3 linked regions of the Neurospora crassa OR74A genome follow. The protein of the gene in region 2 interacts with the protein of the main gene of each other region in a pairwise test. Links are inferred from orthologs where the notes say so. Each region holds a gene or a part of one and is shown on either strand. Other genes may lie near its edges.

Region 1 (6,685 bases), on a different chromosome or scaffold from region 2:
CATCTCTTCGTCCTCAGGGTGGAAGTACTGCAGGCCCTTCTCATCGCGTAGCCGCTTGCGCTTCTGCTCCTCCTGGTCCAAGCTCGACTCGACCTCGACGTACGCGCGCGACACCACCAGGTAGTGCGTAAACTCGTATGGCTCTTTGTCGTCCACGGCGTCCTGGATCTCCTCGATCATCATGTTCCACATGGGCGGGATGACTTCGGCCGGCATGTTGATGAGGCGCTCCGACAGGACGATGCCCACTTGGGCCTTGCCGGAGGTGAACAACTCAGGCAGCACAGACAGGCTGGAATCACCGGCCTTGACGGCCTTGTCGGACAGGTACTCAATCAGCTGCGCGACCGGTTTCTTCTCGCGGTGCTCCCACGCGTTGAGCACGGTCAGGAAGGCGTAGGCGTCGTTGGCCTTGTCGTCCACCTTACACGTCGAGCCGATGGTGTTCTGCTCGATGATCATGTCGCTGAGCCCGGACAGGTCGAAGAGCTGGGCGTCAGCGTCGAAGAGCTGACGAAGAAGCGTTTTGACGCCGTGGAAGTCGATGTCCTTGTCGTAATTGAACAGCTCGAAGTCGACGTTGATGATATCCATGTCCTTGTTTCCAACCAATGTTAGTATTACGACTCCCGGCCAAGAGAGGTTCGACCAAGATGCAAGTGGTCGGTTTAACAACCGAGCCTGGTGCACCAAGGGAAAGTAACTCACCTCATCCGAGTCTGAGCTGTCACTATCCTCATCCATCTTATCGACTGTGGGGTCGTTCTGGACGACCTCCTTCTGGGCTTCCTCTCTCGATCTTTTCTTGCCCATCTTGAATGTGGTACTTGAACGACTCAATAAAAATGGTCCTTATTCGACTTGTCAGTCGCATATTCCACACATGATTGTGTTCACAGGGCTCCTTACTTGGTGATATGTGGTTGACTTTGAGGTCATTCAGGCCGTCAAGCTCAAAATTTTGTAATGCAGTTGTTTAAGATTGAAATTGATAAGAACCTTATCGCCTACCTGCATATACCCTAACCCTTCCAGCTTTAGATACAACAAAATGGTTGCTAGGACAACCACAATTGCCCAAACTCCAAAAAGGGGGGGATTTCCAACCACGTTCACCCAGTTAATGATCTGCCATTGTGGAAAACTGCCACCGCGAACGATAAATGGAAGATACTTCATCTTTACGGACAGTGCTTGTCTATGGATGCCAGAAGACTGCAGGCCAGTCCTATCCAAAATGTTGACTTGGCTGCACCATTGCTGCCCTCAAACTAAAGTATAAGCTAAATCGTTGATCTTCTTACACATCCTTGATGTTATCTACTGAAAGTAACTACGTACCCCTTGACTTGTGCTGCATTCAGCTGGCGCAACATATTCCTCAACATTCTGACACCAGTTGATCACCAGCAGCGCTCCTGAGTAGCTGTCAAACAGACCATCCTCCCGCTACTCTCACACCCCAAACGTCTCATCTTGGTATGGGTCGACATGACATTGTCGGCGGCCACAGAGCCCTTTTCATGCTTACATAACCAATTCTCGGCAGGGCATTACTTCCCAAATAGTGACGTGTATCACAAACTACACCTGCTCAGCGCCCCAGCCCGCATCCACCTCGCGCATGTTTGGAGGGGGCTCAATAGAGGGCACAAATTCGAGAGCGACATAGGCGACTCCGACAAGGAAGATGATCGAGCCGATAATGATTGTAGCCCAGTGTCCATGGGGAATGATGCAGCCGACGAAGATGTAAACTGTACAAAGAGTAGACCGACGATTAGTCACAATAACTCAGCAATAGCAGCAGAGGGGGGGTGGGGCAACAATAACGTACAAACACCACGACCAAGAAACGAGAACATGAACGACGCATAGCGGTAGACTTGGTGAGGGATCTGGAACTCCAGGAGACCGGTGGCTGTGAAGAACAGCGTCAGCGTTTCGGAAACCATTTGAATGTTTCTGTCGACGTATGCGACCACCTACCAACACCAAACAGGATCGTGTAGCACCCGAGGATAATTGGTTGACTGTCGACAGTAACTTGGTCAGTTTTACATCTCCATACGATTTCTATCAGCCTGCGCAACAGTCCGGACAAAGCATGTAACACCCTTGTGAGCATAGGCGGGCGCGCACTGGCAGCCGGGACATCCAGGCTTCAGGACCATGATCGATTTCGGCGACCGCCCAAGATTGCTGCGTCCACAATATCCGCTCGTGGAGGGAAGCGCATAACTTTGTACAGTCGGTCGGCTTGCTAACGGGCGTACAATGAGGAAACGTACATTCCGAGAGGGAAGAACTGGGAGACACCACCCAGGATCATAAGCACTGCAACCGCGAGGTTGACAAAGCGACTAGAGAGGAGGACATCATGTTAGCAAGTAGTTCTGAACCTCGAACGGATGCTTGGATGCACGCAGTATTGGGGGCCAGCGGTCTTGCTTGTTCTCCGCTCTCATCCCCTTCTTTCTTTTCTTTCTCCATAGTCGCACGAGCGGGCGGATGTGAACGTACAAAGAGTCGGAGAGATCCATTATGGCGTTGTTTTAGTAGTGGCTGTGGTGGTGGAGGAGGTGCGAATACGTCGCAAAGGTTGGTAGAATGTCGCAGGAACAGGTGCGATCTGCTGGGTTCGACGCAATCTAGAGAGCGATTCAAAATGAGTCTCGGAAATTTGCGCGAGCGTAGAGATAGATGTGGCCACTTGGTGGTGGTTCTTGACGGAGCAACGAAAGATGTTGTGAGGATGGTGTATTCTACAGTGTTGCCTGGAACAATCGAAGCTCGAGGTCAGGAAGCTGGTAGCCTCACCTGCACCAAACAGGAGGGTCGGGTGGTCCCTGCCGGGGTACATTGTCCACTAAACCGGCCCCAAACGCGCGCAACGTGGGAGCTCCGCCCTACGACGCTGATGCAAGCGTGCGCGGCCTCTTGTCACTGGCTCCTACGGCATGTCAGGGCAGGGGCTTTCCGTCTGGAACTTTGAAACTTCCATTGCCGCATCACACTTCGCCATTGCAGCGAGGGTGTTGCAATTAGGGTTTACAGCCATGAGACGGCTATTACTATGCAAAACCAAATCCACTGGACGGCATCGATGAATAGACGCATAACCACTATGCGGATACTATGACTAAAGGTCTCTGGCTCCAACTGTCATTGGGATTTCCTCAAAAAGACTATGCCTTCCGTTGCTATCTATCTATGCACAAGTCAAATTCCATGGGTATGCTCTCCCGAATAACTCCAGTTGTTTCCCCCGAATTCACAGCATGCCGCTTTTTCAGCCTCCGCATGTCAATCATAACCCAACTCGGCAAGCTCCCGTTCCTTTGCGGCCAGCAACTCTCTCATCATTTCGGCCTCGCGCTCCAACGCTGCTCTTCGCTCTGCCTTCATCCGCTCGCTATCATTGTGGGTATCTCTCGAGGCGCTCCGCAAAATCGGAGCTGATGTTGGTGTCCCAATAACCGTACTGTTTGAAAATGACCCTGGACTGTGTGCTGGAGTCAGACTGCTCATGGCTGGGGACCGGGAGGCTGGTTGCATCCGTAACTGGTCTGCCGGCGAAACCTCTCGGTGTATCTCAGAACTCGGCATCGGGTTGAGAATGGATTTGATGGAAGACAGGCGCTTATGACTTTCGTTGTCATTATGAGACGAAGGTTCGTTCTCTACAGCAGATATCGACCGCTTTCTCGATGGGGACAGAAATGATGCTGGTGAAATGGACGCTTGACGATCAACTGGGAGCGCCAGTGAATGAATGGGAGCCAGTCGATTCTCGTAAGTGAGAGATGCATGAGCCCCGTGGTGTGGTTGATTTGTATGAGATGAGTGGTACTGTCCCAAGGCGGCTGAAGACAGCGGGGATGCCTGTCTGTTTCGCCGCAATTCGTCCTCAGGCACGAGCGTCAATGGTCGCACTGAACGTCGGCGGATGCCGAGATTAACAGATCCATCTTCGTTGACCGTACCTTTCTCCATCGGAGGTTCTGATGTCGCGGGTGGTGAATCTGGAGCCTCACTTGGCTCAATTTCGGCATCACCTCCGGCGGCAGGAATCACACGTTTTCTCCGTTTGATTATTGCCTTTTTCATGGTCACTGGCCGATGCACACCGTGCAACTTGTAATAGAGACCTTTACTCGAGTTAGCAAATTCCATCCCATTTGTAACTTTTCAGGCCATAAGTTCATGCACTTACCGCACGCATTGCAAATGGTATGACCGGCTTCGTCCCTTCGCCAGAGCGGAGTAATGGTAGTACCGCAGTTTTGGCAAGCAATAACAACGGTTGTGTTTTGCGATTGTACGTGTAAGGCGGTGATGTCCATCTCAGTCGGTTCTTCCCCGCTGCCCTCTGCTGCTTGAGGTTTCTTGGAAGACGCGGCTGCTGCGCCCTGACACTTTAGCACGTTGAGACTCGCACTCTTGGAAACGCGGTTGTTGTATGCGGGGCAACCACCACACCCCTCCGCACCACCTGTGCCGTTGCATCTTCCGCCTCCAGGGCACGATCCTGACGGCGTCTGATCGGCGGCCACATACGTTGCTCCCGGGTTGCTTGGCAGTAACGGTGCGGTTGCTTTTTTGGGGGACAATTTGGCCGCGGCCTGCCTAACATTGCTCGCCATCACGCTGGGAGGGCGCCTGATGTTGGCGGGGCGAGCCGCGTTACGCGCCTTTAGGTACAGTCCGCAAGCGTTGCAAATGATGGCTCCTTGAGGTGATCTTCGCCAAAGAGGAGTATGTGTCGTACCACAATTGCTACTCAGTCGTTAGCGCTGGCCTACAGATTCAGTCATTAGGAAAGGGACATTCATACCTGCAGACTTGACCCGCATGACCCTGAACAGAAGGCACAAGTCCCAGCGTTGCAACGTTCACCACCCCCACGGTTTCGGCTGGAGATTGTGCTGGTTGGGCATTTTGGATTTTTGGAGACTTCTTGCGACCAGACGGACTCTGCGCAGCATGCCCCGCTTTCTTTGAATTCGGCGAGAGCCCGGATTCGGACTTGGAGGCCGCCTCGTCAACCGGTCCGGTTGACTCGTGCTCCGGGGGCTCGTTACTTGCGGTCGGTGGGGGTGGCCTTGATGGAAGAGCCATACGATCAGGTGCCGAGTTACCTTCGATGGAAGTTTGGTTGTTCATAAGGCGAGTGTCATCCGGCAATGCCATTCCTTCTCAATGTGTTTGCGTATGGATCTCAACCTAACAATATGTATGCTCAAGGCTAGTTATCCGTCTTGAGAAGGGACACAATGTGTTTGAAAGCCTGTTGAAAAACAAAGTGGATGTTGTACGGCGCCGGGAGTCTTGGGGATGCGCAGGCTGGCTTCAATATCGCTCCGTGATCGTCAAGAGGCGGAAACGGTATCGAGGTCGGCGGTCAAACACATGCCGAGATCGATCGTTGGAGTTGTACTTGGATGGCAAGTAAGCCACCCCAACTTCTGGGCAATGTGCGCTAAGGACCAGGCGGGATCCGGGGCCAATACAGAGCGCCGGTACCAGGAGAACAGCACGTGTTGGGTGTCCGAAACAGGCGATTGATGGGGTCAAATGGCCAGAGGAAGCGAGTACTACAGACCGCAGCAGGGTGCCGCTGAATCAGAAGTTGGTTATGCTGGAAGAAAAGGCTTGGACACGGCGCCAGGTTGTGGTACGAGCGGGTTCGCGTTGGTGGCAAGACCTGGACGGTTGTGTACTCCGGTAGAGTGCACGAGGATGGCGAAGTCGGTCGGGATCCGAGGTAGCAGATAAAACTGAAGGGTTGGTGGACGGAAAAGGCAAAGCAAAAAAGAGGGCGGGTCTGGGCCAAAGGCTGGTCTTGAGGTTTTCTGTCGTCTTTCTGTCTTTTTGCGTCTTCTAGGTGAGTGGACAGACGAATGTCTGCATATCCTTCCCCCCTTTGCCTCAAGAGTCTCTGTTGTGCTTCTGATTACTACTCCACTGCTCCACAGATCTGTTATCTGATCTACGGATAATCCTGGCGAACCAAAGGGCTGAGAGACGGTTGGATACCGTACGCAGGAGGGCTTCACCCAGGGGTTCGTCTGCTAAGTAGTCGTTGCCAAGGACAAACACGTCTGGAAGGGAGGAAGGTTCGACAGTGTCTTAGCCTGAAGGAGGGCCACAAGAGAACAAAGCGGTTTGATTTTACAGTACGACATAGAGAGGATTTGGCACAACAAAAATCAAACCCGTTTTCCCACTTGTTTGGGAGACCTGATTTGAGATCATGGGACGTGGAATTGGGCTGGCTACAGGATGAAAAAGGTCCTTTCTCAGGTCCAGTGTCACTGGTCCCCTCGACTTGGGGAGCCAGATGCTGCAAGGGAATAAGTGACCCACAAGGTACCCAGATATGTCCAATCACGGACCACGCAATGTCAGCAGACAGGGCTTAGATGAGAATGACCGGGGTTCCTTATGCGTGCATTGGGTACGGGAACGCAGTGCCGACGGGTCAGTAAGCCGACCAATTTTACATACTCTGTAGACGCAAGTGTACATTTTGACGCAATGCGCCGCCATCAAGTCTCGTTTACCTATGTACACTATCTAGTCTAGTTCTACATTGGTGTTTCTTTCCAGCCCATCAGGCTCAGCAGGACATGTCTCACGACCTGAAAATATGGTTTTGGAAATGGTCTTGGTTGCTATGGTA
Region 2 (8,522 bases):
CAGGTCGTAGCGGATGGCGTCGTGGGCAAAGTTGTCGAAGACCTCGAACGCCAGGAAGAAGCATGGGGACGGGACCGGTTGCGTCCAGTCGAAGATGGACTGGTTGATGATTTCCACCTTGTTGAGGTGGCCGCGGCCGGCGGCCGACCGCATCAGCGTCGAGTTCTGGACTTTGGCCAGCGAGTCGCTGATCTCAATAACCTTGTACTGCGTGCGCGCGTACACGTCCGGGTCCATGTCGCGGATGTAGTCGAGGATGTTGAGCATGAGCGTGCCGCGGCCGGCGCCCATTTCGTAGATGATCAGGTCGTGGTACGGGTAGGTCGTCAGTTTGTAGTTGGCCACAAGGTAGCGGGCAATGGCCTCGCCGTAGTAAGGGCGGAAGAGCTCCGTCGGCGTGTACCAGAGCTGTCGCGTGTCCGAGGGAGCGACCTCGTCGAGCTTGTCCTCGAAATCGACATAGCGCTGGGAAAGGACGTTCTGGAACTCGGTCTCGTCGCGGAGGTTGGGGAAGTCGAAGGGCTCGCCGGGGGTGAAGATGGTGACTTGCTTGGAGAAGTAGCCGTAGTTGGGATTGTAGAGGCTGTCTGCAGCATTGTGCAAAAGGAAAACAGAATGTCAATGTCTCGTGCTTGTCTTTCTTCTTCTCTTTTCTCTTCTTTTCTTTTTCATTCTTGGGCTTTGTGCTGTCGCAGCTAAGTAGGTGGATTTCTCAACCCCTCGGGTAATGCGCCATGTTTTTGTCTTGGACCGGCAACCAACCTTCGATAAAGTCCCTTAGGAGCATCTTGACCCGACGTGGTCTCTGTTTCCTGCCCCAAAGCTCGGCCGCAGTCACCATTGGCGCTCTCTTGTACTCCTCTGTCATGTCCTGATTCAGGATCTTTGTCCGCTGCTGCCATTGGCTTTCATCCCCCACGGGAGAGCTCGCGCCACGACGCTGGCTCGAGTATGGTCGTCGCTGCTGTCGTCTGTGGTATTGCTGTACTCGATGTCCATTATGGGCTGTCGCGGTCGCAAGATGGCGGAGATGCTTCTGTGATTGACATGCCGGATGATGGCGAAAAAGCTGTCTGAACAGCTGGTTGACGAGTTGCGAGTCCATACTGACCGGGTGAGTCCAGATTGTTGGTGGGCGAGAGAATGAAGCCCGGGCAGTATCCCGGAGGTTGCTGACGGTCTGTTCGTTTCGCCACCTGCTCCAACTGAACTCCCCGCGCCAGTGAGAAGGAAGGTCGAGGTACCGTATACCTGGTCGGTAAATGTGGTGGAGTGGAATCGTCAAGGGGACACGGGGCGACAGGTGGAGGTTGATGGGGGAGGGGGGATGGATCCTGGAGCTTTTGCGGGGTGGCCCGAGCTCACTTCCTCATTCGGTTCTAGAACTAGCTGACAGTTGCGCTCGGGACAGCGGTGGTGGCGGCCCAGGCCAGGGACACACGACATTGGAGGATGGCTCGGCTCTCGCTGTCCGTTGCCCCCAACGGCGCTTACCACCAGTGACCCGCAGCAACGGGGAAGTGCCGATTCACGACACTATCTGTGACAGGCCTCATGGCTTCCGATCTGACCGGCTTCAGCGGAGGCGAGGCCGGTCACCGGAGCCAAAGGTTCTTCCCTGCCTGCCGTGGGAGACGAGCGACTGAATCGATAACACTATGCTCTGAAGATCCATCGTTGCATGACATCAACAGCAACTTCACAGCAAAAAACCTCACAACTTTTGAGGACAACCCGACCACATCAGATAAGACAGACACCCTCTCACTTCATTTTTCGACATTTTCTGTTCTTGTGTATTTCGGCTTCTGTGCCTTTACATCTCAAAGAACTCAACAACCGAATTCTCTTTCCGTGCAACAGCGCCAACGGCGCAAATCTAACTATCGAGACACCATAACGAGACACCACCTACTATGAGATAATTCAGATTCCCTCCACACCAAACAACCGCCAAGACATGTCAATAAGCGACCATCCCCGTGTCTACGGCACGGTAGCTCTCACAGCCGCCTTCGCCGCGGGTATCCTCGTCACCCTTGGCTTCAAGGATTGCTACCCCGAACTCGAGAATCGGTACCAACGGCGGAGGAACCGCAACCTAAGCCGATCCAATGGCGATTATGGCGTCGTAGTACCCACCGCCAACCGGGTACACCGCGAGAGTCTCATCTTCGGTCCGGTGCGACTAGAAGACCACGAGGAAGTAACAAGCAATATCAACAGCAGTTTCGACTGGGTCGAGGGCATCGAGGGCTGCATCGGCAACACCCCCCTAGTCATGATCCGCAGCCTGTCCGAGGCAACAGGCTGTGTCATCCTCGCCAAAGCCGAGCTCCTCAATGGCGCCGGCGGCAGCCCGAAAGACCGAGTGGCACTCAACATGATCCAGGACGCCGAGGAGCGCGGGCTGCTTGTGCCCGGGCGCGGCGATACCATTTACGAAGGGACTGTGGGCAGTACGGGCATCTCGCTGGCGACGCTGGCGCGCGCAAAGGGGTACAAGTGCCACATTTGCATGCCGAACGACATGGCGATCGAGAAGTCGCAGCTGCTGCACCACCTGGGCGCGACGGTGGAGCGGGTCGACCCGGCGCCCATCACGTCTCCTGATCATTTTGTCAACCTAGCCCGCAGGCGGGCGCGCGAGCACGAGGCGGTGCACGCGGACGGCAGCGTCGGGTTTTTTGCTGACCAATTCGAGAGCACGGCTAACTACCAAGCACATGTCAAGACCACGGGACCGGAAATCTACCGCCAGACGGGCGGGCAACTGGACGCCTTTGTGGCTGGTGCCGGCACGGGCGGCACTATCGCCGGCGTGGCCAAGTACCTGAAGGAGGAAAAGAACCTATGGGAGACGCGCGTGGTGTTGGCGGATCCGCAGGGCAGCGGGCTGTTCAACAAGATCCGCCACGGCGTCATGTACTCGTCGACAGAGCGGGAAGGTACACGCCGGCGTCAGCAGGTGGACACGATGGTGGAGGGTATCGGCATCAACCGCATCACGGAGAACTTTGAGTCCGGGCGGGTGCTGATTGACGATGCCGTGCGAGTGACAGATGAGCAGGCCTGCCGGATGGCTCGGTGGTTGGTGGAGCACGACGGCATTTTCTGCGGCAGTAGCACGGCTGTTAACTGCGTGGCGGCGGTGGTGACAGCCATGAAACTACCAAGAGGCAGTCGGGTGGTGACGTTATTGTGCGACTCGGGCAATAGACATCTCAGCAAGTTCTGGAAGCATATTGGCGATATGGGGCTGGAAAACGATACCCAGGCGCAAGCGGAGGATCTTTTTGCGGAGTTGGGGCTAGAGGAATTGAAGAGGTAGGAATTGAGACGGACTGAACAACGTAAATATTGTGCCTGCTGAGTCAGGCTTGCTGAGTTCGCTGCTGTCATCAAACATGTGATATGTTCTAATTGTATCTCATCCGAGAGTCCAACAGGTCCACATAGAAACGTTTGTTGAGCCATATCGGCCATATGGCCTCTTAACGGTTATATTACTGCTAATGCGTGGTGTGAGGTCTAAGTAGGTCGTTGCCCGTCTCAATATCTACCTCTTTCCAAGTCATGAAGTAGCTAGTGATTCATCGCTCACCTCTTCGCTGGGGTATAAAAAATAATAAGAAAAGTTAGATGATCCATACTCCGATGTTTGAAGAAGTTCCCGAAGGTACAGCGTCTTCCGTCTTCGAGTAACTTTGTTTTCCATTTCCGCTCCTCCCCACCCCCTCCTCCTCTTTCATTGTGCTCTCTAGGTGGAGGGATATTCTTGAGACACCTCAATCTCATATTGCTGCCAAATGAGCTTCCAAACGCGAATGTGATCCAGTCATGAATTATCAGCCAACGAAGCGTGCAACAGGCGGATTTCCCCTTCAAAGTAACATATCGAGCCAGAAAAAAAGACGCACACTCTGCGGCCCAAGCCATACCAAAAGGAATGTGATGAAGGAGCTTGTTGTGCCCCGCCATTTAAGAGAACTAAACATGCAACTGTTAGCGATCAAATTGACTTCCGTCAAAGAAAGCGTGTGTATCAACCATACCTTCCAGCGGTTTCCGCAAACTGTGCACTCGCAGAAGGTCGTCATAGGCTCATCAGCCGACCGTGTTTGCGCCTGGCTGTACGACACCTTCCTCTGTCCGCACTTTCCGCACTTCAGAGCATCACTGATCGACTTCTCCGCCATGGGTACCTGGGCCTTCTTCATGTTCTCCTTCTCCAGCTCTTCATCCCTAGCGCGCTGTTCCTCCGAGGCCAACTCCTTGTCCGACAAGACGACAAGGCGTTCGACCGGCAGCTCGCCCGACATCACTCGTCGTCCCAACGCAGCGTTGTCCTTGCGCTTCAGGCTGGTAAAGAGGGTGCGACCCTTACTCCGGTACTCCTGGTTTTCGCCCTTGCAAGCTTTGAAGAGGGCATTCTCGACTTCGACAGCACGCTTGACGACTTCCTCAATCGACTCAGTTCTTCGGTAAGCGAGGCCGTTGTAGAGCACACCGATGGTGTTGTTGCGCGTCTGGCTCGAGGTTCGGTTGATGTCGACCTTGTCTGTCTTAAAATGGCGCTTCTCGACGTCACCAGTGTAGGGCTTGTTGTACGCGGATGATGCGGGCGCCGGGGATGCATTGGGTGCTGGGGAGCTGGCACCGGAGGCCGCGGCGGCCTGGCTCTTCTTCTTCGCCTCCTTCGCAGCTTCGACGAGCTTCCTCCACTTGTTGACGATCTCGCTGGCAATACGGGCAATGTCCTTGTTGGGATTGGCTCGCAGCTTTCCCACGGTCACACCTGCTTTCGTCGACTAGGACGGGCAAAGTTGTCAGAACTTATACCGCTCACATAGATCGCTCTGCGCTAATGGGAGGGCAGAGCAAGACTCACGCGAAGCTGTTCCTCGGTCGGCTTTGCATCTCTTTTCAATTCCTCCAAAAGTTTGATGACCGTCGCAGGGGGTTCACTGGTGACAGCCTTGGAGAGCGCCTTGATGCGCGCGGCGAGTTCTCGGTCATCCATGGTGTGAGTGGGAGATGACGTTAGGCTGGCCGTGTGTGACTATGCGCAAGCGATAGCGTTCGCGTCAGGTAATCGGCGGCTTCGATTGGGTATGCGAAAATCTCCCTCTACTACGAGGTCAGATAGATATCGAGCCAAGGCTTAGCAAGAACGAGTGAGCTTGTCCTGGACGATGTTGCGGATGAAGATGGTCGAGCGGGAAAAGCAATGACGAGCAGGTAGAAGAGTCGCAAAGTGAGCAGCGATCGTTGGAGAAATGTTAGTGGAGCTTCAAAGAAAGAGCCCCACTCTGCCGGTCTTCAGGTTCCACACCGAACAAAGTGAATGGACTAACAAAAGGGCTGACAGGCCGAGACCGTCAAATAGCAATCGCTCAACAGACGAAACAGGCAGTCCGAATCTAACCGTGCACCTGTGGTAACCGTGGTAACAAAAGACTTCCTTTCAATTCCACGAGAGTGAGATCTCTTGCCAAATATTTGACGGCTGCTGTTTGAATCCGAGAAAGGCAGCTGAAATGAGAGCAAGTAGCAAACAGAGGAGAGGTCTTTGGTCCCTAGATCTGCAAATATATGGCAAAGCGATGCTGCTTATCGCTAGGCAACATTATGTATTTACAAGCTCCAACTTGTCACAGGCTTGTGTGCACCTCGCGGCCGGCTGTTCGGGCTCCGGATCCGGTGCAACCCTCAACATACTGCCTGTCATTGTTGATGTAGTATCTATCAGACATTACAGTACTCATGGTATGCACTTGAAGGAGCTCGGCTGCATTTGTTTACTGTTCCCCTGAACGCACCACTTGCACATCGACTTGTCATTCTTGCCCCAACAACAGGAAACACCCTTCACAACAACAGTTACTATTAACTTCAGTCGTCCCTCACAAACCGTCACAGAATACGCTAACTCAGGTCGCAGGGTGACATAAATCCTTCCACACAGATTCTTGAGCTGACCTCCAGAATATTGCTTGGAATATTCGGCAATCATGCTGACCTACCCCCTACTTCTAATCCATATGGTGCTCCTCTTGAGCCTATTTACTCCTCCGAAATTCTGCAAATGAATCGCCCCAAGAATCCCATGCGCCTGGACCCGGATTTCTGATACACCTCCTTTTAGATTCGTGCGCTCGTACCTGGCCTCTGGTCGGAAAGTTCAGTGCTGCATGTGCCTGACTCCTCGTTGGTCTTTATGAGTTTCTTCACCGATCTGAATTCGATGAAGCACGCAATAAGAGTTGCGAGTATTCCTAGCGGAATGGGGATGATGAGCGCCGCCTGAATCGCCTTATTGTAAACCCGAATCATGGCGGGCAGTTGCTCCGCCGATATCAAGTCGCGGAACGCTGTCGCACCCGCCTCGATCACCTGCTTGATGTCGACTCCCGGGAGCAAGTTGGCGTCGGCTGCCTTGAGCAACTGATGCTGAAATACACTGTTTCCTACCGACACGAAGATAGCGCCTCCAAGCGACTGAGCAGCGGATACGGCCGCAGTTCCCAACGCCACGTCCTCCTCGCTAAGTACCGTCTGCACTGCTGTGAAGCATTGTTGAATCGACAGGCCAAAGCCAGCGCTCGTTAAAACTTCATAGCCTACCCACTGGGCTGTTCCTGTGCCGGGCTTCAACAGAGTCAGCAATCCGAGGCCAACAGTGCCAATAGCAGAGCCGATTACTGCTGGAGGGGTTGCGTAACCAGTTTTGGACACGATGCCTCCTGCAATCAGTGAAAAGACCGACTGGGTTACAAAGAACGGGACCATGTGCACGCCTGAGCGCATGGCAGTGTCATTTTTGACGGCCTGGAACCAGATCGGGAGGAAGAAGGTCATGTTGATCAAGATCGCGTATATCATGAAGGCCGTGCCGCATGATGCCGCCACCGTACGCTGCTCGATGATGCGAGGGGGGATCAATGCCGCATCCCCTTTAGCCCATTGCCAAACCATGAATATAATGGCGGTAATACCACAACCGGCTAAAAGCCAAATGATGAGTGGGTGGTTCCATGAAAAGCCTCGAGTCGTATGTTCAAGCGCCAGGAAGAGCATGATGAAAGCGCCCAGAATGAGGATATTGCCCACAATATCAAGGTCCTTAAATCTGTCAAAGAATGTTCCGGCGTTGCGATTGCTTTTTTGGGGGTTGAAGAACAGAATCAAGCAGATGATGGTTACACCACCAAGCGGCAAGTTGATATAGAAGCACCATCTCCACGTCTTTGAATAACATTAGAATATATGTTATGCAGGAGTGTAAGGAAGACTTACCACAAGGTCCGTAAAGACACCACCTAGGAGAGGTCCGACCGAGGCCCCGACACCGAACCTAGATATGGTCAACATATGAGGCCTTATTCAGAAACAAGGGCAGTCAGGGCTGGGACACTTACATCAAGCCAACCACGGACGTGAAGACAGGACGCTTCTGCAGCGGAACAGCCATCGTCACGATGATAAAGCTGCCGATTAGAATACCAGCACTGCCGAACCCCGCAATAGCCCGCCCAACAATCAGGGTCGCCGAGTTTGGTGCCAGTCCGCAGAGGAGGGAGCCAAGTTCGAATAAAATCATGGCAGTGAGATATGACCACTTGACCGAATACAGCATGAAGATGCGTCCAAAGACTGGCTGGAAAGCACACGATGTGAGCATGTATGCCGAGCCATACCAACCTATGTCTGATGTTGAATGAAATCGCTTCGTGATGTAGGGCGTGGCCTGTTCGAACAGTGTAAGTTCCGGGTCGTTCACTTCACTCATCAGTTCCGGGTCACCTACCGTAGATATAATAGTACGGTCAATCGATAAAAGTAGCATACCGAGCATAAGGCCCGCCATGAGTAAGACAAGACGCAAACCTGTGACATAGTCTATGGTTGGCTCTCTCTCGCCGTTTACGGGTGGGTTCTCATCGAGTGTCATGGGCTCAAATGTGCGCCGCGTGCTTCCCGCTGCTTGACGTTGCACATCCTCGGAGCCATGCTGGCTTGCAGAAGGTCTGGCCTTGATGATTTCCGTCATCGGATACCGTTGCTCTCCAACCGGCGTTACTTGGGGTCTGAGGCTGGAGTTCCGACGGCCAAGTGACGATGTCGAAGAATTCAGGCCCAGAACTTGGTCTCTAGATGATCCACCCAGGGGGTAGGGGTTTTCGTCGTCGCAAGTTGGTGTCATGGGGTCAAAGAACATTGACCGTGATGGTCGTTGAGAGTGGTGCTTCTGTGCGGTTCCTCCACGATTCTGGCGTTTTTGCCCGGTTAATAGCATGGTCCCCAAGGCTGGGTTGCTAGCTTCGACGTCAAAGGTGAATGAAGTTGAAAGAGAAAGAGGGTAGAAAGTGAGTTCGGAGGGGGAGGCTTTATTTTCTAACGCCTCCAAGGAATCATCATGGGTTTTCGGTCCATCCATGGCGGTTGGCGAGTTCGAGTTGATTCACATAGGGATCGGATGATGGGACGGTGAATAGTATTGATAATAGGAAAGACAGAAA
Region 3 (6,898 bases), on a different chromosome or scaffold from region 2:
GTGTCATCTCGTTGCCCAGCTGATCCTTGACAACCACCATCAATATCGTCGTCAACATCATCAGCCTCACTCGATAGCCGACCGGTGCGGCCTACAAGCAGAGTCACCTGAATATAGCCGTTGGATCTCAGGCTGCTCAAGAAAGCTACCAAAGGAACACCACGATCAAGTCCAACCGAGAAACTGGTCCAAGCGCTCAATCATCACCAAGCAAACAAACAAACAAACAAACACGAACAGGACAAACCCGTGATACGGTTCATCGCTTCAACTTTCAATTCAACCTCTCTCCTTCTGATTCATCACCTCACATCCAGACAACCCCAAAATGGCATCCTCCCAACCCCTACATGGAACCGCCTCCCCATCCCTAGTCCACGACGACAACAACCCAAACTCATCCACAGCCTCCCCTGTCCTCGAAGGCCGCGACTCGCCCAACCTGCCGCTGACCATGACCGCCTCCACGGTTTTGATGACGCTCCCGCGGGACGCCACCGCCGCCCTCGCCGAAGCCGGGACCTTTGACCAAGAGAAGGTGGTGATTCGTTTCAAGCCGGTCGGGTCGGCGCCCGCCCTCCGAAGGGAGCAAGTCAAAGTGCTGAGCACGCACTCGTTCGAGACGGTGGTGGCGTACCTGCGTAAGACGCTGAAGGTGCAGGAGACGGATAGCGTGTTTCTGTATGTGAATAGCGTGTTTGCGCCGGCGTTGGATGAGGTGGTGGGGAACTTGTGGAGGGTGAGTTTACTTTGGCTTTTTTCCGGTTTTTGGTGAAGGTGGTAATAATTTCGGGGGTGATGATAGTGTCAAGTGCGAGTAATTGTGTGAAATGTGTGCTAACGATGTGTGTTGCAGTGCTTTAAGGATTCTACGAACCAGCTAAATGTTTCGTATTCGATGACGCCGTCTTTTGGGTGATCACCTCAAGTCTGAGAGGTGAATCAATCCCTGGAGATTTGCAGGGTCGGAACATATCTTATGGACAGCATGTTAGACTGTGTCAAGACTGTGACGAGCCGTGTCGAAAAATCATCCAACAAATCTAGGATTACTATGGAAACTTCAGCATCCTTGAGCAACTATCTGAAGGGTTTTGACACCACGGAACGCCACACCGTCAAGGTCATCAATATCCACGGCATCTCACATCAAATTAAAGGGATCACGACAGAGGTACATATCAAATTGCTACACTATCAACGTGAGGCAACGCTCTTATATCCAAAAACAGCAACACATTTTTTTATCCCAACATCATGCAAGGCGTATTATCCTCCTCCTCCCGCCGCTGCCACGCACACACTACAGCATTACTCACGCATCCTTCTCACCCTCCCCTTCAGCCTTGGCAGACGCATTCGCATTCATCAGCCTCCTCACATCCCCCACAAAGGCCTCCACCTCCTCCTTCGCCATCGGGTACGTATGCTCCTCGGCCGGATAACTCCCGCCCTTGACTTCATCCCTATACGTCTCAATAGCCCTCAACGCCTCCCCCCACACATCGCCATACTTTTTCACAAACTTGGGCAAGAACCTCCCAGGCGGGAAATTCCCCGTCATATCGGCCTGCACCAGCACCTGGCCACTCGTGCCGTTTCCAGCACCAATGCCAATGGTTGGGATTTTCAGGAGACCGGTGATGAAGGCCGCCACCTCCTGCGGCACGGCCTCCACCACCACGGCGAAAGCACCGGCCTCCTGGACGGCCAGGGCGTCTCGGAGTAATCGCTTGGCGGATTCTTTGGATTTGCCCTGGACGCGGAAGCCACCCAGGGCGTTTTGGCGCTGGGGAGTGAGCCCGATGTGGGCGAGCACGGGGATGCCGGCGGTGGTGATGGCGCGGATGGTGGGGGCCATCTCGGCGCCGCCTTCGAGTTTGACGGCGGACACGCGGCCTTCTTTGATGAAGCGGATGGCGGTGGAGAGGGCTTGTTGGGGGGAGATTTCGTAGGAGCCCATGGGGAGGTCGCCGACCTGGAAGCATGGTTAGTGTTTTTTTTTTTCTTTCTTTTTTCTAATGGTTCACATAGGGAGTAGGGTATAGTGAATAGGGGCAATGATTGAAGACGAGGGAAAAATAAATGAGACGACGGAGAAGGAAAAAAATAGGGGTAGGTATAAACAAAGGGTTCTCAAATAGAGACCATGAGTTGAGAGGATATAGGATATTAGAAGAAGAAGAAAAACTCACAGTAAAAGCCCGGCTAGTAGCCCTCGCCACACTCCGACAATGCAGCAACATCTCCTCCACCAACACCTCGCTCGTGTCCTCCATCCCCAGAGCAACCATGGCCAGGCTGTCGCCCACCAGGATCATGTCCATGCCCGCGTGCTCGGCCACGTGTGCCGAAGGGAAATCGTGCGCCGTGATCATGGTGATTTTCTCGCCCTTTTTGTACATGGACTGCAGCGTGTTGAGCGTGACCTTTTTGCGGGGGTTGGTGGGCGGGAGGCCCATGGGGGAGTGAGAAGAATAGCGGGTTTGGATTTGCACATGTTGGTGGTGGTGGTGTAGTTGGGGTTGGTAGTATCCCGTGGTGGTGGTGGTGGTGGTGGTGTTGAGGTGAGGTTGAGATGCACCGCCGGCACCACGCAGCAGGACTAATGGTTTGCAATTGGTACCCCTGGAAAGGAAGGGAGAAGACCTCCGGAGTAGTGAAGATGTTATTTGCTTGTGCATTATGGTGGTTGTAATGGTTGTGGCTGTGGTGGTGGTGTTATATAAGTGATGAGAAGCGTATGTAAAGTACCGGTCCAGAATATACGCAAGGTGAAGGTACAACGGAATGAATGAAGCGACTTTGCGATGCTTGGAACAATCGATGCAACTTTTCCCCACGGTTTTGGTGGTTGATGGAAATAACCAATGCTGCACTGAAAGTGATTGATTGAGAGGAAGAGTAAATGATTTCTACATTTGCGCCATTTTTTTTTTCTCACTGCGCCCGGCTCCTCCTTTTTATTTCAACTCCTGAAGCCATGATGGTTTTTGCTGCGTAGAATTGAGTATATCTCACAAATTTCTTGGTGTTCTTTGCCCGTTTCCGCCAAGTGTCAAGGGGGGGACTGGGACCCGCCGGCTTGTTCGGGCGTTCGGAGAAAGACCCACACTACCCACTTTACCGGTCGCTTGGATGTGCTTGATTGGCTGTGTCCCTGGGGCCGAGGCATCGGTGACTGTCGACTGACACTCACTGGCGCTGCACTAACAATTTTGGGACTTGGACAAACGCAAGCATCTTGATGATGATGTTCGTCTCCGAACGGACACCGAGAACATTGACGGTGTTGACCTGCCTATCGTGATGGTTTGAGGCTCTATAGACTATTGTAGGGGAGTGAAAGACTTTCTGTGCCGTGTCAGATAGGTAGCATCTATGCAACCACTTTATGTAAACCCGCCGACTTTGGCTTCAGATGACATTGTGAACTGCGGGGAATTGTCAGCCCTACATGAACGCATGGCGTTCCGCTACCGTGGTCCAGAGCCGAAGATTTAGTGTTGGACTACCTTACCTATATCGTGGGCTTAAGAGATGAAAATGTCTTGGGCCTTGAAGTTGCTGGATTATCTGCCTCATTAGGACCGCACGCAAAGTCGCAGGCAACCAGCCAAGTTTATGATGCCCAAAATGTAGCACCGTTCAAGGAGACCGCGTGACCCGTGTACCTGGTCGCTGGTGAACAGCCATCGCCAACCACAACACCAACCAAACTTCCTTCTGTCAAGTCTAGTCTAGTCTAGTGCTTCCTTTTCCCCAGACTTTCCCGCCATTCACAGTTGAATCTTGACGTCGGATCGCCGGCCACCTTTATGGACGCAAGGCCGATGGTGGGTGACGGTATGTTAACGGGGTTGATCGACATGTTTCTTCATTGGCACTACACACACACACACACACACACACACACACACACACCATTGTCAAGATTGTTGGGATATCCCGAATTTGGATCCGAGTCAACTCTTATATGTCTGTTGAGCGGCACGGAACGCGTTCGAGATTATACGATCCAATACAAGGATGTCACCTACCTCTTGGTAGCTGATGATGCGCCGTTCTTTATCAGATGTTGCTGTTGACCATTGTGTCTGTTGTTGGTGACCGGATTTGGCTTGGAGACAAAGCAAACATGTAACACTACCCCCGAAGTGTACCTTGCGGTTGGTAAACTCGCCTTCCCATAATGAGAAGGTTGACTGGAGTTGACTCCTCCTCCCGCTGTCCCGTCATTCCCCGTCCTCAACATCTGAAGCACAACAGCCGGTCCCGAGTGACCGCCAATGAATCATTATCACATCCCTTCAGCGCATGACCATCCCCACTCCTGGCTGCTTATCATTCGCTCGCGGCCGGCAAATGCACCCCTGGCTGCTACCACCTGAGGAGGTCAGCGCTGTACGGTAAGCCTGACGTCGTGGACGATCGTCGCTACTGCGGGCGGGAACGTGACGGGAGTGCGACTTGTCTCATTCATCCCACTTTGTTCCCAACTTCGACTTTCCGACCTGAATAATCAATCAAACTATCGACACTTTGACAGATCAGCTTCAGTGCCTACCTATTCGAGTCTATTCGCGATAACCTACCCGCCATATTTGGTTGTCAGCAACGCCCAAGCTTCGCTTCCAACCCACTTCGGCCGCAGCTGGGAGACCAGACGAGAGCGACATTGCATCTCGCCACCACCCGCCGACCACGCATCCAACTGCCTACTCCCGCATTCTGCAGTCTTGACACTTGTCATCCGTTCACAACATCGAATTATACGATAACGCGACTGCTTGCGACTTCGCTTCAGATTGCCTGCGACAACTCGAAGCTAGTTACCACTTCATTCTTATCAAAAAAGGCCGAACCGAGCGCGAGTTTCTGATAGACAACATGAGTTCCCCACGCCGCCGTATCGAGACAGATGTGAGTTGCGATAGTGTTCACCTTCAGTTACGAGTCAGGGACACACGTGCTAATATGTACATTGATAACAGGTCATGAAGATGTACGAATCCCGTCCTTACAAAGCTCCAACAACCCTTTCCCAAGAGCGCACTGTTAACACGACTGATACGACAGGCTCATGAGCGACTATGAGGTTACTTTGGTGAACGATAATAGTATGGATACACCCTTTCCAACTCCCTGTAGGAAACATTCAACTTCCGGTTTCGGAGCGCTAACATGGAGAATGCAGTGTAAGATGCGACAACTAAATAATCCGAGCTGGGTTGCTGGGCTTACCTAACAATACAACAGGCAGGAATTCTATGTGAGGTTCAAAGGGCCTGCCGAAAGTTTGTCTACCCAATATCTTCCATTCCCTGTCTCACCTGTGCTCAAGTCGCCATATGTATCTCGAGGATCTTACAGTCACTAACACCAAGCCCTCCCTACAGCACCCTTTGAAGGCGGCATCTGGAAAGTCCGCGTCGAGCTACCCGATCAGTATCCATACAAGTCCCCTAGCATTGGCTTCGTGAACCGAATCTTCCATCCCAACATTGATGAGCTGTAAGTGGGGACTGATACCAAACTGATTGCACCATCCGAGGAAACAATCACGACAATACGTTGGGTGGGCTCTGGTTCGCCGGGGAGAAACAAGCAACAAATAATGGGCCACTCGCCGCAAAAGAGCAATTGGGGCTAACCAAATACGCCGCATACCAGATCCGGATCGGTTTGTCTAGACGTCATCAACCAAACATGGTCGCCAATGTTCGATATGATCAACATCTTTGAAGTATTCCTGCCTCAGCTTCTACGTTACCCGAACCCTACCGATCCTCTCAACGGTGAGGCTGCTGCGATGTTGCTCAGAGAACCCAAGACCTACGAGAACAAGGTGAAGGGTATGTCAACACATGAAAACTGCTTTGGAGTACAGAAAGGGGGGAAGCTGAAATTATTTTTGCAGAATATGTCCAGAAGTACGCGAGTAAGGACGCCGCAGACGAGGCGGACGCAGAAAGTGAAGACGACGGCGAACTATCATCCGTGGCTAGTTTTGACGAGGAAGACGACGAAGAGGCCGCCGGTAAGATGGACGACGTCTAGGTTGGTAGTCCCCCCACGAATTTGAGGGCTCTTCGAATCCTGAAGGCTCTTCAAATTTTGAAGGCATTTTAGGCCGTCTTTTCGTCACTTCGCATTTGTCAGCGGCAGGAGTTGTTTTCTCCGGGGTGTTCAAGGGCCTCTGTTTCGAACCGGCGTTGAATAAGGTATCTATGGGTTGGGACGTTTTTGGTTTGCTTAGGTCACTCGCTTTGTTTTCTCCCCTCTGCTTCTAGGACTGTTTATACACATTATCATCTCAGTGCAAATCGTTATACCATTCCGTTAGAATGCTTTGGCTTTTAGTGCGTTGCCTTTATGTGGAAAAACAACCAGCTCTTGTCAGTCTAGTGATGCTTTCCTGCTTTTCCTGCTTGAGGAGGCTCAAGGAGACTCAAGTCTAAACCATCACTGAGGCACAGTTGAATCGCAACAAAGTTTAAATATCAATCCCCAGCTAGGTGTGAAAAGTCGTCACAACAAGATCTATTACAGGGTGATCTGAGGCCCGCGCTCAATTTTTTTTTTTTTTTTTTCCAAAGTTTTTTTTTTTTCCAAAGTTTTTTTTTTTTTTTTTTTTTTTTTTTTTTTTTTTTTTTTTTTTTTTTTTTTTTCACAGTCATTTTGGCATCAGCTGGGGACAAAACCTTTATTTATGTTATTTTAAATCCTGATCCGTCGTTGCGGTCCGGTTTGACAATTGTCTATTCGAATTCAAATCCTTCCATTAACCCACCTCCCATTTACTGCCTTCCTTTCCTCCCCTTCCCTACCCATCGAGATCCCTCCTAACTTACATATAGCTAGCATCATAGTAGCCCTGACGAGAGTAACGACTCCC

The links. The genes of interacting proteins can lie anywhere in the genome.
Region 1: the proteins of NCU02563 (region 2) and NCU07727 interact in a two-hybrid assay, tested with the Schizosaccharomyces pombe proteins (2 studies listed by BioGRID, with this or other methods). The link is inferred for Neurospora crassa OR74A from reciprocal best matches to the Schizosaccharomyces pombe genes tfs1 and tvp15.
Region 3: the proteins of NCU02563 (region 2) and pan-2 interact in a two-hybrid assay, tested with the Schizosaccharomyces pombe proteins (2 studies listed by BioGRID, with this or other methods). The link is inferred for Neurospora crassa OR74A from reciprocal best matches to the Schizosaccharomyces pombe genes tfs1 and ecm31.

Annotation. Positions count from the first base shown.
Region 1 is NC_026504.1:2,072,145-2,078,829, reverse strand, and holds NCU07727 (COPI-coated vesicle protein), read right to left. Parts: upstream 2,799-6,685; 5' UTR 2,544-2,798; coding exon 2,524-2,543; intron 2,364-2,523; coding exon 2,292-2,363; intron 2,034-2,291; coding exon 1,990-2,033; intron 1,922-1,989; coding exon 1,838-1,921; intron 1,758-1,837; coding exon 1,585-1,757; 3' UTR 1,164-1,584; downstream 1-1,163. Other genes in the region: NCU07726 (bcp-1), read right to left, coding at 1-597, 709-813; sre (siderophore regulation protein), read right to left, coding at 3,307-4,151, 4,217-4,779, 4,838-5,193. UniProt on the Schizosaccharomyces pombe protein: Golgi membrane protein involved in vesicular trafficking.
Region 2 is NC_026501.1:2,740,787-2,749,308, reverse strand, and holds NCU02563 (transcription elongation factor S-II), read right to left. Parts: upstream 5,264-8,522; 5' UTR 5,024-5,263; coding exon 4,892-5,023; intron 4,812-4,891; coding exon 4,056-4,811; intron 3,991-4,055; coding exon 3,982-3,990; 3' UTR 3,452-3,981; downstream 1-3,451. Other genes in the region: NCU02565 (hypothetical protein), read right to left, coding at 1-587, 763-1,105; cys-12 (cysteine synthase 2), read left to right, coding at 1,961-3,331; NCU02562 (hypothetical protein), read right to left, coding at 6,145-7,248, 7,300-7,357, 7,422-7,684. UniProt on the Schizosaccharomyces pombe protein: Necessary for efficient RNA polymerase II transcription elongation past template-encoded arresting sites.
Region 3 is NC_026506.1:3,263,164-3,270,061, forward strand, and holds pan-2 (3-methyl-2-oxobutanoate hydroxymethyltransferase), read right to left. Parts: upstream 2,957-6,898; 5' UTR 2,685-2,956; coding exon 2,196-2,684; intron 1,979-2,195; coding exon 1,316-1,978; 3' UTR 1,164-1,315; downstream 1-1,163. Other genes in the region: NCU10049 (autophagy protein Apg12), read left to right, coding at 329-739, 857-919; NCU10046 (ubiquitin conjugating enzyme Ubc8), read left to right, coding at 5,185-5,198, 5,260-5,297, 5,400-5,514, 5,674-5,855, 5,921-6,060; NCU10045 (pectinesterase), read right to left, coding at 6,851-6,898.